Linked DNA regions of Arabidopsis thaliana. Each later gene encodes a partner of the first gene's protein in a complex. Each region holds a gene or a part of one and is shown in the gene's direction. Other genes may lie near its edges.

What was found. The genes of interacting proteins can lie anywhere in the genome.
Region 2: AT1G05970 (region 1) and AT5G11470 share a complex: the UniProt entries of both Arabidopsis thaliana proteins name them as parts of the ASI1-AIPP1-EDM2 (AAE) RNA regulatory complex.

Annotation. Positions count from the first base shown.
Region 1 is NC_003070.9:1,815,319-1,818,994, reverse strand, and holds AT1G05970 (RNA-binding (RRM/RBD/RNP motifs) family protein), read left to right. Parts: upstream 1-1,658; 5' UTR 1,659-1,767; intron 1,768-2,001; 5' UTR 2,002-2,003; coding exon 2,004-2,450; intron 2,451-2,586; coding exon 2,587-2,742; 3' UTR 2,743-3,170; downstream 3,171-3,676. Other genes in the region: AT1G05990 (EF hand calcium-binding protein family), read right to left, coding at 1-407. UniProt on the Arabidopsis thaliana protein: Prevents gene silencing by suppressing CHG methylation as well as histone H3 lysine 9 dimethylation (H3K9me2) status at target loci.
Region 2 is NC_003076.8:3,662,217-3,669,960, reverse strand, and holds AT5G11470 (bromo-adjacent homology (BAH) domain-containing protein), read left to right. Parts: upstream 1-2,037; 5' UTR 2,038-2,115; intron 2,116-2,898; 5' UTR 2,899-2,919; coding exon 2,920-3,282; intron 3,283-3,765; coding exon 3,766-3,934; intron 3,935-4,036; coding exon 4,037-4,893; intron 4,894-5,180; coding exon 5,181-5,207; intron 5,208-5,567; coding exon 5,568-5,660; intron 5,661-5,845; coding exon 5,846-5,924; intron 5,925-6,015; coding exon 6,016-6,106; intron 6,107-6,235; coding exon 6,236-6,335; intron 6,336-6,437; coding exon 6,438-6,554; intron 6,555-6,688; coding exon 6,689-6,744; coding exon of another isoform or gene 6,745-6,745; exon of another isoform or gene 6,746-6,771; intron 6,772-6,843; exon of another isoform or gene 6,844-6,909; coding exon 6,910-6,961; intron 6,962-7,072; coding exon 7,073-7,204; 3' UTR 7,205-7,244; downstream 7,245-7,744. Other genes in the region: AT5G11480 (P-loop containing nucleoside triphosphate hydrolases superfamily protein), read left to right, coding at 107-269, 393-611. UniProt on the Arabidopsis thaliana protein: Collaboratively with AIPP1/EDM3 and EDM2, the AAE complex regulates alternative RNA processing (e.g. alternative splicing) and epigenetic silencing (e.g.

The DNA of each region.
Region 1 (3,676 bases):
TTGTAGTTAACCCTACCATCACCATCAACATCCACTTTCTTTATCATCTTCTTACAATCGTCCAAGGTCTTACCTTGTTTGAGCCCCAAGGAAGACAAAACCGCCTTCAATTCATCCACCGTTATAAACCCATCTCCATTCTGATCAAACACATTGAAAGCTTCTTTCATGTCCTCTTCTTCTTCGTCTTCCTCGTCCATTATCGTCTTGTATAGCTCACCAAACTCGTCTATGTCCACGCACCCATCACCATTCACGTCGATCTTCTCGATCATTTGAGTCAACTCCTTGTCCGGGATGTAAATCCCTAGGCTTCGTAGTGTCTCGCTCAGCTCTTTCCCCGTGATCGTCCCGTCCCCGTTCTTGTCGAACATTTGGAACACGCGTTTTAGCTCTGTCGGATCCATCTCTTTTAAAGTTGTAGTGTTGCGTGTGGAGGAAGAAAAGATAATGGTGAGGGCTCCACGAGGCCGAGAAAATCTTTTACCCTTTCCTGGCTTCTTGGATAAGGGCAGGAATTCAAAAATCTAGGAGGAAGTTACAAGAGATGCAACAAAGAGACATTCATTAGCCAAAAATAGGAAGGAAGAAGGAGATAAAAAGATATGCCTTTGGTTGATATTGTTAATCGGTAGAGATGGACATGTTGAGGGTTTTAAAAGGATGCAACTCTATGAGTTTATGGAATTAATTATTTTCTTAAAATTTGTTATATATATAGTGGGAATTTAATTAATACTTTGTTTTCACCAAACAAAAAAGTAAGAATTAAGAAACAGTAGTACTAGGGGGAAAGTTGAGTCAACATTCAAATAATATATAATCTGATAGATTTGTGTATCCTTTTGAAGGTAGATAACAAAATTCTTGTAAAATAATTACATTCTTGAATCTGAGCGAATTAATATTTAGTATAAACAACTGCGACAAATACCCTGGAATTTACATTCTTGAATTAACATTAGTATACGCAAAATATATGTTTCGTTTTAAATTATTGTTAGCGTAATTAATTCCCAGTTACAATTAATCAAGAACAGTTTTAGTGACGTTTAGCTCCAAACATTTATCCCAGTTAAATAAGACATATTTTGCTGTTAAAAAACTAGATAGTAAATGGTAGGCAGGTACTCCCCACCTCGAGGATATTGGTTGCACGTTTAGCTCCAAACATTTATCAGTTTAAACAATTGCATTAGCTAAATAACAGTTTATTATTGATCAAATCAGAATTTGATTTAATATTTGATTCTTAAAAGAAAAACAGCTAAAAACTCTAATGAAGTGGTGAACCACTATTATGATTTATGGCCAATGAAAGTATCCTAAAAAGATTTTGTTTTATAAAAACTACAAAGAGATCCAAAATTGATACATTACAATGAGTCGCATCGCTTTCACTAAATCTCTTTATTTAATACTTACAAAAAAAAAAATATCTTATTTAATTTCAACTACATGTTTTTTATAATTTACAGGGAAAGGAAAAAAATAAAATTGCATAAGGTTGAAAAATAAAAAAGTGCCCACACGCAGGATCGAACTACGGACCTTCAGTTTACAAGACTGACGCTCTACCACTGAGCTATACGGGCCATTGATAATGGAATCCAATAACAAATATATAAATCTATAAAAGTCGTCATTTATCCTCCTAACTTACTTCTTCTTCCTTATTTCGTCTCCCCCCATAGACGACGCCTTTGACACGAGTTTAACAGTTACTTCCAGAGACGACGCCTTTAACACGAATTCTCTCCAGTTCAGGTAATTCTTTGATCTCTATCCTTCTATTCATCAATGCCCCATCGATTTCGCTACTATCTCTTCATTCCCATTTCTCTGAGAAACCCTAGATTTTCGCCCCGATTTCTTTTTTGTTTTTCCAGAAAATTCGTTGCATATATTTAAGACGGAAATTGTAACTCTGTTGAATCAATTTGGGGTTTGTTCTATTTGAACTTAAATTCGTTTATCGTTTTCTCTTCTTAATTTGGTTAGTGATGGCGACTCCGGAAGAAGTAGCGTATGAGAAGTTCCTAGAGAGAGTTCGTCGTACTGTCTACGTAGACGAACTCACGCCTCTTGCCACAGCTCCTGTTATTTCATCTGCTTTCAATCAGTTTGGGACTGTCAAGAAAGTCAGCTTCATACCTAACTACTTGGGTCCAAAGGAGCTTCCTATGGGTGTTCTTGTTGAGATGGAGAATGAAGAGATGACACAGGCTGTTATCTCTACTGTCTCACAGTTACCTTTCATGGTTGCTGGTATGCCAAGGCCTGTGAGAGCTTGTGCTGCTGAGCCTAATATGTTTGTTGATAAACCGAAGAAGCCTGGTAGAACGGTCCGTTTTCGCTGGATTAAGCCTAACGATCCTGATTTCGACAAGGCCAGGAGAGTCAAGCGGCTTGCTCGTAAGCATAGTGCTGAAAATTCGTTCATGCTCAAGGTGCTTATATTTTTTGTTTTTTGTTTTCGTTTGTTTGTTGTCTCTTCCTGTGGTATTGGATCTGATTGGCGGTGATAGTGTTAATGAAGACTTGTGTGCTATTGTGTGAATGTGTTTTCTTGTCTTCTGTTGTCAGAAACAGCTTGAGGAGGCAGAGAAGCTGTCGAAACAGCAAGCTGAGACGGCGGTAACACATCACAAGAAGTTTGAGATGATGGATAAACTCCTCTACGATGGTGTTGCTCAGAAACTGGCTGGCCGTTACGACCTGAAAGGTTTTCCTTATCGGTAGAGAGAGACTGCATATGGTATTTTGCTTAGAACTTCCTTATGTCACTAGTTTGTGCAGTGTCTATTTTGGTTGAGCTGACTTTGCTGTAGGCGCTCTGACTTTAACTCGTAATGAAGAATGTTCCACATTCTCATTTATGTGAAACAAGTAGAAGCGTGTAAATGAGATAATCAAAGTCCCTGCTTTAGTTTACCTTGACCTCTCCTCTTAATGCCTAATTCTCAAGCAAAACAAGATTTAAGCTTTAGAGACACATATTCTGCTCTCTCTGATATTTCAGATTTTTGGCGTTTGGTTTTCTACATTCCCGGTTCTTAAGTCTTGTGAGTAGTGTATGACATTTGAGATGAGATAGCTTGATTTCTATGTTGGATCAGACATTTGAATTGTATTACTATTAACCAAACTAAAAATTGTGTAAAGCGAATATAATAATTTTCGGTTTAGTCATGAACCACCAAACCAATTCTGAAGGGAATTAAAAACCAAGAAAAATTAAGAAAAGATCAAAAGAACAATTGTCAAGAATCATAGAGGACTAGTCAATGGATCCATTCAGCAGAAAACAACCTTCAAAAATTCGGACCGTATATAGCCCGCATCACATAAGCACTAGTGGATCCATTACAAGATATTTGAAGGGTATATTGGTAATTTAAAGAGGAATTCGGACTGACACTTTCCGACATTAATGGCGGAAAGAAGAGAGAGAGAGAGCTTTTTTAATAATGAAATGGAGAGATTAAATAAAATAATGATAAAAAGACGAGAGAAGAGCAATGCCACCTCTGAGCGGGCAAGCGGGATTAGATTTGCCTTCTTCTCCCCAAGCTGCCTCTCTGGCTTTTCCCCATCTTCCTGGTAAAATTCTCTCCTTCTTCAATCTCTATCTCTCTCTTTTTTCCTGGTTAATTCCAATTTGGATTTGTAATTT
Region 2 (7,744 bases), on another chromosome or scaffold:
CCTAGTTTTTTGTTTGTGTCTGTTGGATACAATTACAGTTTCTGTGCCAGGGAATTTGAGGACTTTCAGTATAGAAAATGAAAGTTGATACATTTTATATATCCAGGTATGCATCAGCACCGCATGAACTCAAACAAGACTGGAACAAATTCACCAAAGACTATTTTCTAAATCGATCAACATTGGTCTCGGTGTTTTTACTAGTTGATGCCAGCATTCCTGTAAAGCCAATCGATCTCGAGTATGCAAGCTGGCTTGGTCAAAACCAGGTATAAAAAGTACCTAAACCTTGAAAACCCCACTTTAACCCATTAATTGGCAATCATGGTCAAGACTTGTACTAATTGTGTAATGTCTCTGTGAAATGAATGATTGCTATCTATATCTCTCAGGTTCCAATGACTTTGATATTCACAAAATGCGACAAGAGAAAGAAGAAGAAAAATGGAGGGAAGAAACCGGAGGCGAACATAAAGGAGTTCCAAGACTTGATCCAAGGGTTCTTTGAGACAACACCGCCATGGATTATGACCAGCAGTGTGACGAATCAAGGTCGGGACGAGATATTGTTGCATATGGCTCAGCTAAGAAACTACTGGCTCAAACACTGAGAACCAAAACAACACTTCTCCATATTATCTTTTTATAAGGAGACTTATATAACAGTTAGTGTAAAACGACAAAACTAACAGTTAGTGTACCAATTATTTGGGCACTGTCTTTGATTAATGCAACGCTGAGATTTTGTTTAATGTATTTGTGTTACAACTTGTAATGTATTCGGACTCTACTAAACTTTTGTAAAAATCAACAAACAAACGAAAAAAACAACAAAATTATTCGCAAATATAGGAAATATAGATAAAAGGTTAAGCATATAAGCATCAAGCGGGGATAGCTCAGTTGGGAGAGCGTCAGACTGAAGATCTGAAGGTCGCGTGTTCGATCCACGCTCACCGCATTTTTAAAAAACTTTTAAAAGACAGAAAAACGACGCCGTTTCTTTTTACGAGACCCTAGAAGCAGCCCATATAACAGCCTAGTATCCCTAAACCCAACTCTTCAGACCTTTTTGGTAGTGGGCCTTAATGAGACAAAAATTGTTCTGTATCCTTTACTGAAAAGTGAAAAGCATAGATAGCTTAACTTCTTGATATTGACCTCCGTTGCCAAAAGATTAATGGGTGTTCCAGAAAATTAAAACACATTCAACTATAGAGAGTATGTGATTAATATTGCATTGGTGAATGGTGAGAATCACAGTCCATTGGCTTTGTTAAAGACACCATCTTTTTAAAACGTGTGACCATTGACAGGAGTCATTAGAAGAACAATAAATTTCTCCACTCCATGATTTTGATTTTGAATTTTAAGTATCAAAACAAGTAAGAGTCTAAAATAGGGATGTAGCATTTATACCACAACTACTTTTATCAGGGATAATTCTAAACAAATTATGATATAAGCTCACTAATTCGAGTTAGAAGATATGATTAAATTTCCATGATCTTGTTTAACGGTTAGTATATATGATCAGACCGTATCTCACATATACATGTGTAAAAAAATTGGAAATTTATTATTATAGAAAAAATAAAATAAAGAAATTGTTGTATTTAGGGGGTAAAAATCTTTGCTCAAATATATTTTCTCTAAAATTACGTATTTCTTTTGTGCATAATTCAATTTCAATGTATTTTTTTTAGACCTAATCATTTTTACTTTCTGTCTTTTGTGCAACTCATTTAAAAAAGTAAGTAACAGAGAAAATCTCAGAGAAAGGGGGAATGGGAGGAGAAAAGCTTTCATGAACTTACCGTTCTCTCTGGAAACTGCAACAACAAGAACAATCTTCGACCAAAACTGAATTGCTCTATAGAGATTTTGATTTGAATTTGTTTATGATGAACTTTAGCGATAGATAAAGTGGAGAGATACTGTAGTAACCGGTAAAACGAGGGATTAGGGTTTTTTTTTCTCCCTCTGCGATAAACCTGGGCTTCGTCAATTTCTGTTCATCTTGACCTAATCGAACTCGCGTCACTCTGATTTCGCTAGGGTTCCATTTTTCCGTTCGGTGGCTTCGGAAACTGTAAACTGATTTCTTCAGTGAAGGTAAAAAAAAAGTTGAATTGTTGGTGAAAGTACTTCGTCTTCTTTGTTTCCCAGTTAATCGCTGTTTCTTACGAACGCAAAAGCTTATCTCAACCTACATTGCGTAAATGATATTATCACTTTTTTGCAATTGCGTAGTTTGGTGATCTTTTGATTTTTCTGAATCGCCTTTTTGTTTACTTGAACTCAATTATCTACTATTTTATTTAGTGTTCTTTGTTCTCACGGAGTTTCTTTCGTTGATCAACTGATTTGCTGCTTTCGGTATTTTTTGGTGGACTTGCGTGCTTTTTTAGAGAGCCTTGTCATTACTAAACGTTAGTCTGAGTACTGAATACTTAAAAGTTTCTTATGGATTGGTTATGGTGCATTATAAGAATGTATTGGATGGTTTTTGGTTATATGCACAATGCTAATGATTTCAATTGAAAGATTAATGTGTTGCCTTGTTTAACAGTGGATCTGATAGAGTTTCGGGAGTGATTTTGGTTTGATTGATTGGGAGTATATGGTGGATCATTGATTTGATCTATCTTGTGATGGTTTTTTCCTTTTATGTGTCTTCTGGTCTTAGTATTTTAAGTCCTTGAAGTGTTCTGCACCTTGTCAAGGGTACTCTCGGTTATCCTTGGAAAACGAGTTTGATCTTCTGTTGGAATTCTTGTATTCCTTTCGATTTATCAATGCAACCATTTAAATGAACGATTGTGGATATATGTTCAGTCGTCTAATCAGTTCCTCGTGCAATTCTGATCTGGATACACTATTCTGCTGTTTGTCTAGGTAGAAAATTGCTTTTAGAGAATGGAAGAATCTGTAGCATCTGAAGGCTTAGAATTTAAGTGGGGTAAAAAGAAAGGTGTTGGTGGGAAAAAGAAAGATGTCCAGTTCTATGAATCTTTCACCTATGATGGCGATGAATACCGTCTTTATGACTGTGTCTTAGTTGGCAATGCCAGTGAACCAGACTCTACTGAACCCTTCATTGGCATGATCATAAAAATTTGGGAACACGCTAATAAGCATATCCCAAAGAAAGTCAAGCTTCTCTGGTTCTTTAAACCTTCTGAGATTGCGCCATATCTTGAAGGAGTCCCGAATGTACTTGCCAATGAAGTGTTTTTAGCATCGGGTGAAGGTCTTGGCCTTGCTAATACCAACCAATTGGTAACTAATTATTCTTCTGCATACTATGTTGAATTTTCATTCTCCATAGTACTTATTGAGCATGTCATGGCATTTTCTTATTGATATGTATCTCATATTATGCTGCGTACTAAATTATATTGTCCATCCACTTTTGTTTTGTTGAATATTATATTCTTTGCGGTAGGATAACTTGTTCTCTGTTCACCAACATATGTGCTCCAAGTAGCTTTTTTGTCCTCTTTTGTAACCATGGCATAGATCTCATCCCAAAGCTCCCCAAACAGAAATACGTTGATCAATTACTTTTGTTGGTTTCTAACATTGTTACAAGCGTCTTTCTATGGTGAATCAAACATGTCCTTGTGTCTTGAGAGATTTACCTTTGCTTCACTTTTTGGTTGAAATATTCGTTTGAACTTTGTGCCATTGTGCGAATAGCTGGTGCAAGTGATTAGTTAAAATTACACCTGCTTTAATACTGATATGACATTATTTCACTAGGAAGCAATCGGTGGAAAATGCTCTGTTCTATGCATTTCAAAAGACAAAAGAAATCCACAACCCTCGGATGAAAAATTCAACTCAGCGGACTTCGTGTTTTGCCGAGCATTTGATGTTGGAAGTTGCAAAGTTGTGGATACGATTGATGATAAGATTGCTGGAGTTGACGGTACAATTTGTTTCATCTTAGTTGATAGCTTTGACATTCTACTCAATAGCTATCTTGATTCTTTATTTACATCATATCTTCTTTTCACTCTAATTCTTGCAGTTAAATTTATCTTTAACAGAGCGTGCTCTGAGAAAGAAGCAACTGCGGTGCAGAATATTGAAGCAGACGTAAATGGGAAGTCAGATAGTTTGAAACCAAATGGTCCTTTAGCTAGGGGAGCTAGTGGTTCAGTTAGGAAAATCGAAGACAGCGCTTTTGAATCTTCTGACTGTAAAGAAAACAGTAATGGTTGCAAAGAAGAGAAAGAAAAAGGTCACTACCAACTCGCTATAAAAAAATCTACACTTGCAGAAGAAAGGTCTAACAAGGATTCTGGCTCTAGGGGAAATCATTATAATGGCAAAGATCAAGAAAGTGAAGTTAAAAAACAGTTAACTAAACAAAAATCTATGCCTGGCGAAGAAAGATATAGTAACTCTTTTGAAGCTTCTGGCTCCAGGACAATTCATTCCATTTCAAAGAAAGCTCAAGAAAATGATGTTAAAAAGCAGTTGACTAAACAAAAATCTATGCCCGCTGGAGAAAGATATAGTCAAGAGTCGAGTGGATTGGATGACAGGCCTCTGAAGAAACAGAAACTTGATGGTTCTGTTACAGTACGAGATGGATGGGATACAACCATTTTGCAGAACATTACTTCTGATGGTAAAAAGGATACAGGATCTTTTAAGAGACCTAGAGACAAAGTGACTATAGAGGAAGTCCCTCCCGAAAAGCGCAGCTTTGTTAAGAACCGAGATCTTGTAGTGTCAGTATCTGAAGGAAAAACTACAAAAACTGTAACTGAAAAAGGTATATCCAAGAAGCCCAGCTTTGGACGTGCTGAGGACAAGATGTCGGCAGATGATAATGAAAGAAACTATCAAGTAACTGAAGTGTGCCGAAGGCCGGATGCTGTAAGTTTATACTTACTATATGTTTCCTGCAATATGATTTAGTTTACATTGGTTTGGAACTGGCTGTTTCATGAGATTTCAGAGCGTGTTGTAAAATCTTTAGATGCAAGGATGTGGTTTTGCAAGAACACAATTCTAAAAGGAGCAGTTTTGTTTTACAGTCCTTCACACTGTATGTTGTATAGTTGTAGTGATGTTCTGTCATTCTTCTCATCTTATTATGTTACCACAATGCTTGGTAACATTGAGGTTTATCTAACAGATTTTTGTTTCCTTATTTATTTCAGGGAAAAAGTAAATGGTTCCGGAGTCTTGTAAGTATCTTTTCCTTAACTTTTTTTTGCACCCCAGTTCTGTAAATGTCGTTTTTGGTTGCCTCCATTTTCGTGTTTGACATGCTTGTTTTATGATGTTAGTAGAGTGACCTGTTAATATTGTTAACGTCTCGTTCATATGCTATTCAGAAAGTAGTGTATTTTCTTGATCGTTTCTATGTTCGAGAGACTCAGTTGTTTACTTTTGAATCTGCAGTCAAATTGTTTACTTTCTCTATCCGCACCTATTTTTTGTTTGGCTGGCGTAGTCTCTTCTAGCTAGCCTGAATTGTTATCAGATTCTGTACGTCGTATCAGAAATTATGGACTGACTTTTTAATTTGTCTAAATTATGTCCAGCCTTGGGAAGAAAGTATGAGGGAAGCAGAAAAAAAAGGGACTGTGGTACTTCTTCAAAACTTGGATCCTACTTATACATCTGATGAAGTGGAGGTATTACAGTTTATTTAGGAGTCTCTTTTTTTTTCAACAACATTTAGGAGTCTCTTAAAATGTATATTGTATATGCTTACTCAATGTAACCTAATGTAATGCAGTTGTTTCCTGATTTACTTCATGGAAACCTCCCTTCTTTTCTCTTTTTATGCAACCTAAGAAATTTATGAATTGTATTTCAGGATATAGTCTATTCTGCTTTGAACCAGCAATGCGAAGCGAGGATGATAGAGCGTACATCAGTCACTATTCCTCATATTGGTAAGCTACCATTTTACTCACCGGGTTCTAATTTATGATTCTCACATACTATAAATGGAATGAAGAGCACCTCATATTGTTTGATATACAGGTGAAGCTTTGGTCATTTTCAAAACAAGAGAAGTTGCAGAAAGGGTGATTAGAAGACTAGATGAGGGATGCTTGTTGCTATCAAGTGGGAGGTGAACCTGAAATGACATATTCTTCTTTTTTCTCTAAGCTTCCTATGATAAATTGCAGAGATGTACAGTGCCATTTTTTTGGCATACTTTCATCTCAGAAATCTCTGCTGTGCCTTTTTTGCTCAACAGGCCCCTTGTTGCTTCTTTCGCTAAGATTACTCCACCAGGGAAGCCGTCATTATTCTCAGGCCATATCAAACTACACAAAACTCAAACGCGACGGGAGATGGTATTGTTTTCATTTCCCTTTCCCTTGCATAATGCACACAAATAAAAATGCATTGTTACGTTACTAATCTTCTTGCTCTTTGGTCTTTATATGTTTTTCCAGAGAGATGCCGTGGCTACATCACATTCTTCTCAGCCTAACAACCTTGAATTTGACATGGCCATGGAATGGTGTTTGCACCAAGCCAGACACGAGCAGGCGTCTGAAAGTGTATCTAAGGTAATTAGATTGTCTAGACGATTATTGCCACTATTTTACTGAAAACATGAGTTTCTGTTTGGAACTGTTTGGAAAAATGAGAAAAAAGTGTGCTTCAATTCCTTAAGAATAACTGAATCCTTAAACCCTTATAGCGGCAATTGGAGGAGATGAAGTCGCTGCGGATTAACTTCAAGCTGAAACTTCCTTAGTTTCAGAATCATCTTGTCACTCTCGTGTAAGTATTAGCTCTTATCTACATGTCTATCATCTAAACGAACCAAATGATCACTTACTTTCTTTGCTTCAGACAGAAATATCACCAACTGTAGATTAGAAGGAAAAACACAAGGTCTCTTTTAGCCTCTAAAGACAGTGAGACTCAAGAATTTTGGTTTCATGCCATCCAGTCCCCCAACTTTGACTCGGTAAACACCTGGTTTCTTTATGATATTTTTGCTTGATGTCATACAAATCAAAATATACAAGAAAAGGTGAATAATTTGCACTTGTGCTGTTTCTTTCTTGCTTGTGTTTAGGAGGAATATACTGATGCGGCTTCTGGTCTCAAATCGGACGACCCTTTTGTAGTTACATATTTTTTTGTAAGGGTCAGTTTCACTAGTGAAGTGCTAAACTTTTGTGTGGATCAGGAAAGGTCAAGAGAGTAATTGTGACCTTTTAGGGGTTTAAAAAAGTTCCTTATGATGCACCTTTTAGCCTAACTAGTTGTTTCACCACTTAAGCCCGTCTCTTGTCATCTGAAAAAGAGTTTCAACTCATTCCATATCCACTTGAATATGATGGGCAAGTAGGCCTCGCTCGCCAAAGAATAAAATAGTGGGGTCTTACTAGCTCCCTAAGTGGGCCTCGCCAAAGAATAAAATAAATTTTACTTCATTTCACTAATTAGCGTATCATGCAATTTTAATAGTAGTAGCCTCTGGTTGATGCTTCTGTGGTGAAAAAAGGTAATCACCGACAACACATCTTTTGAAGAAGGTACATTCTCCACGACATTTCGTTCTCCTGCCTCCTATATTTCCAGCAACCAGAAAGGTGTAATCACTAATAATCAGCCTTAATTACATAATCGATCCAAAAACGAAAAGGTTATATTGAAAATAATTATGGCTTATCAGACACACCTACACACTATTATGCACCAAATCTTCTGAAAAATCTCGCCTAGTCTACTGTTTAAAAATACT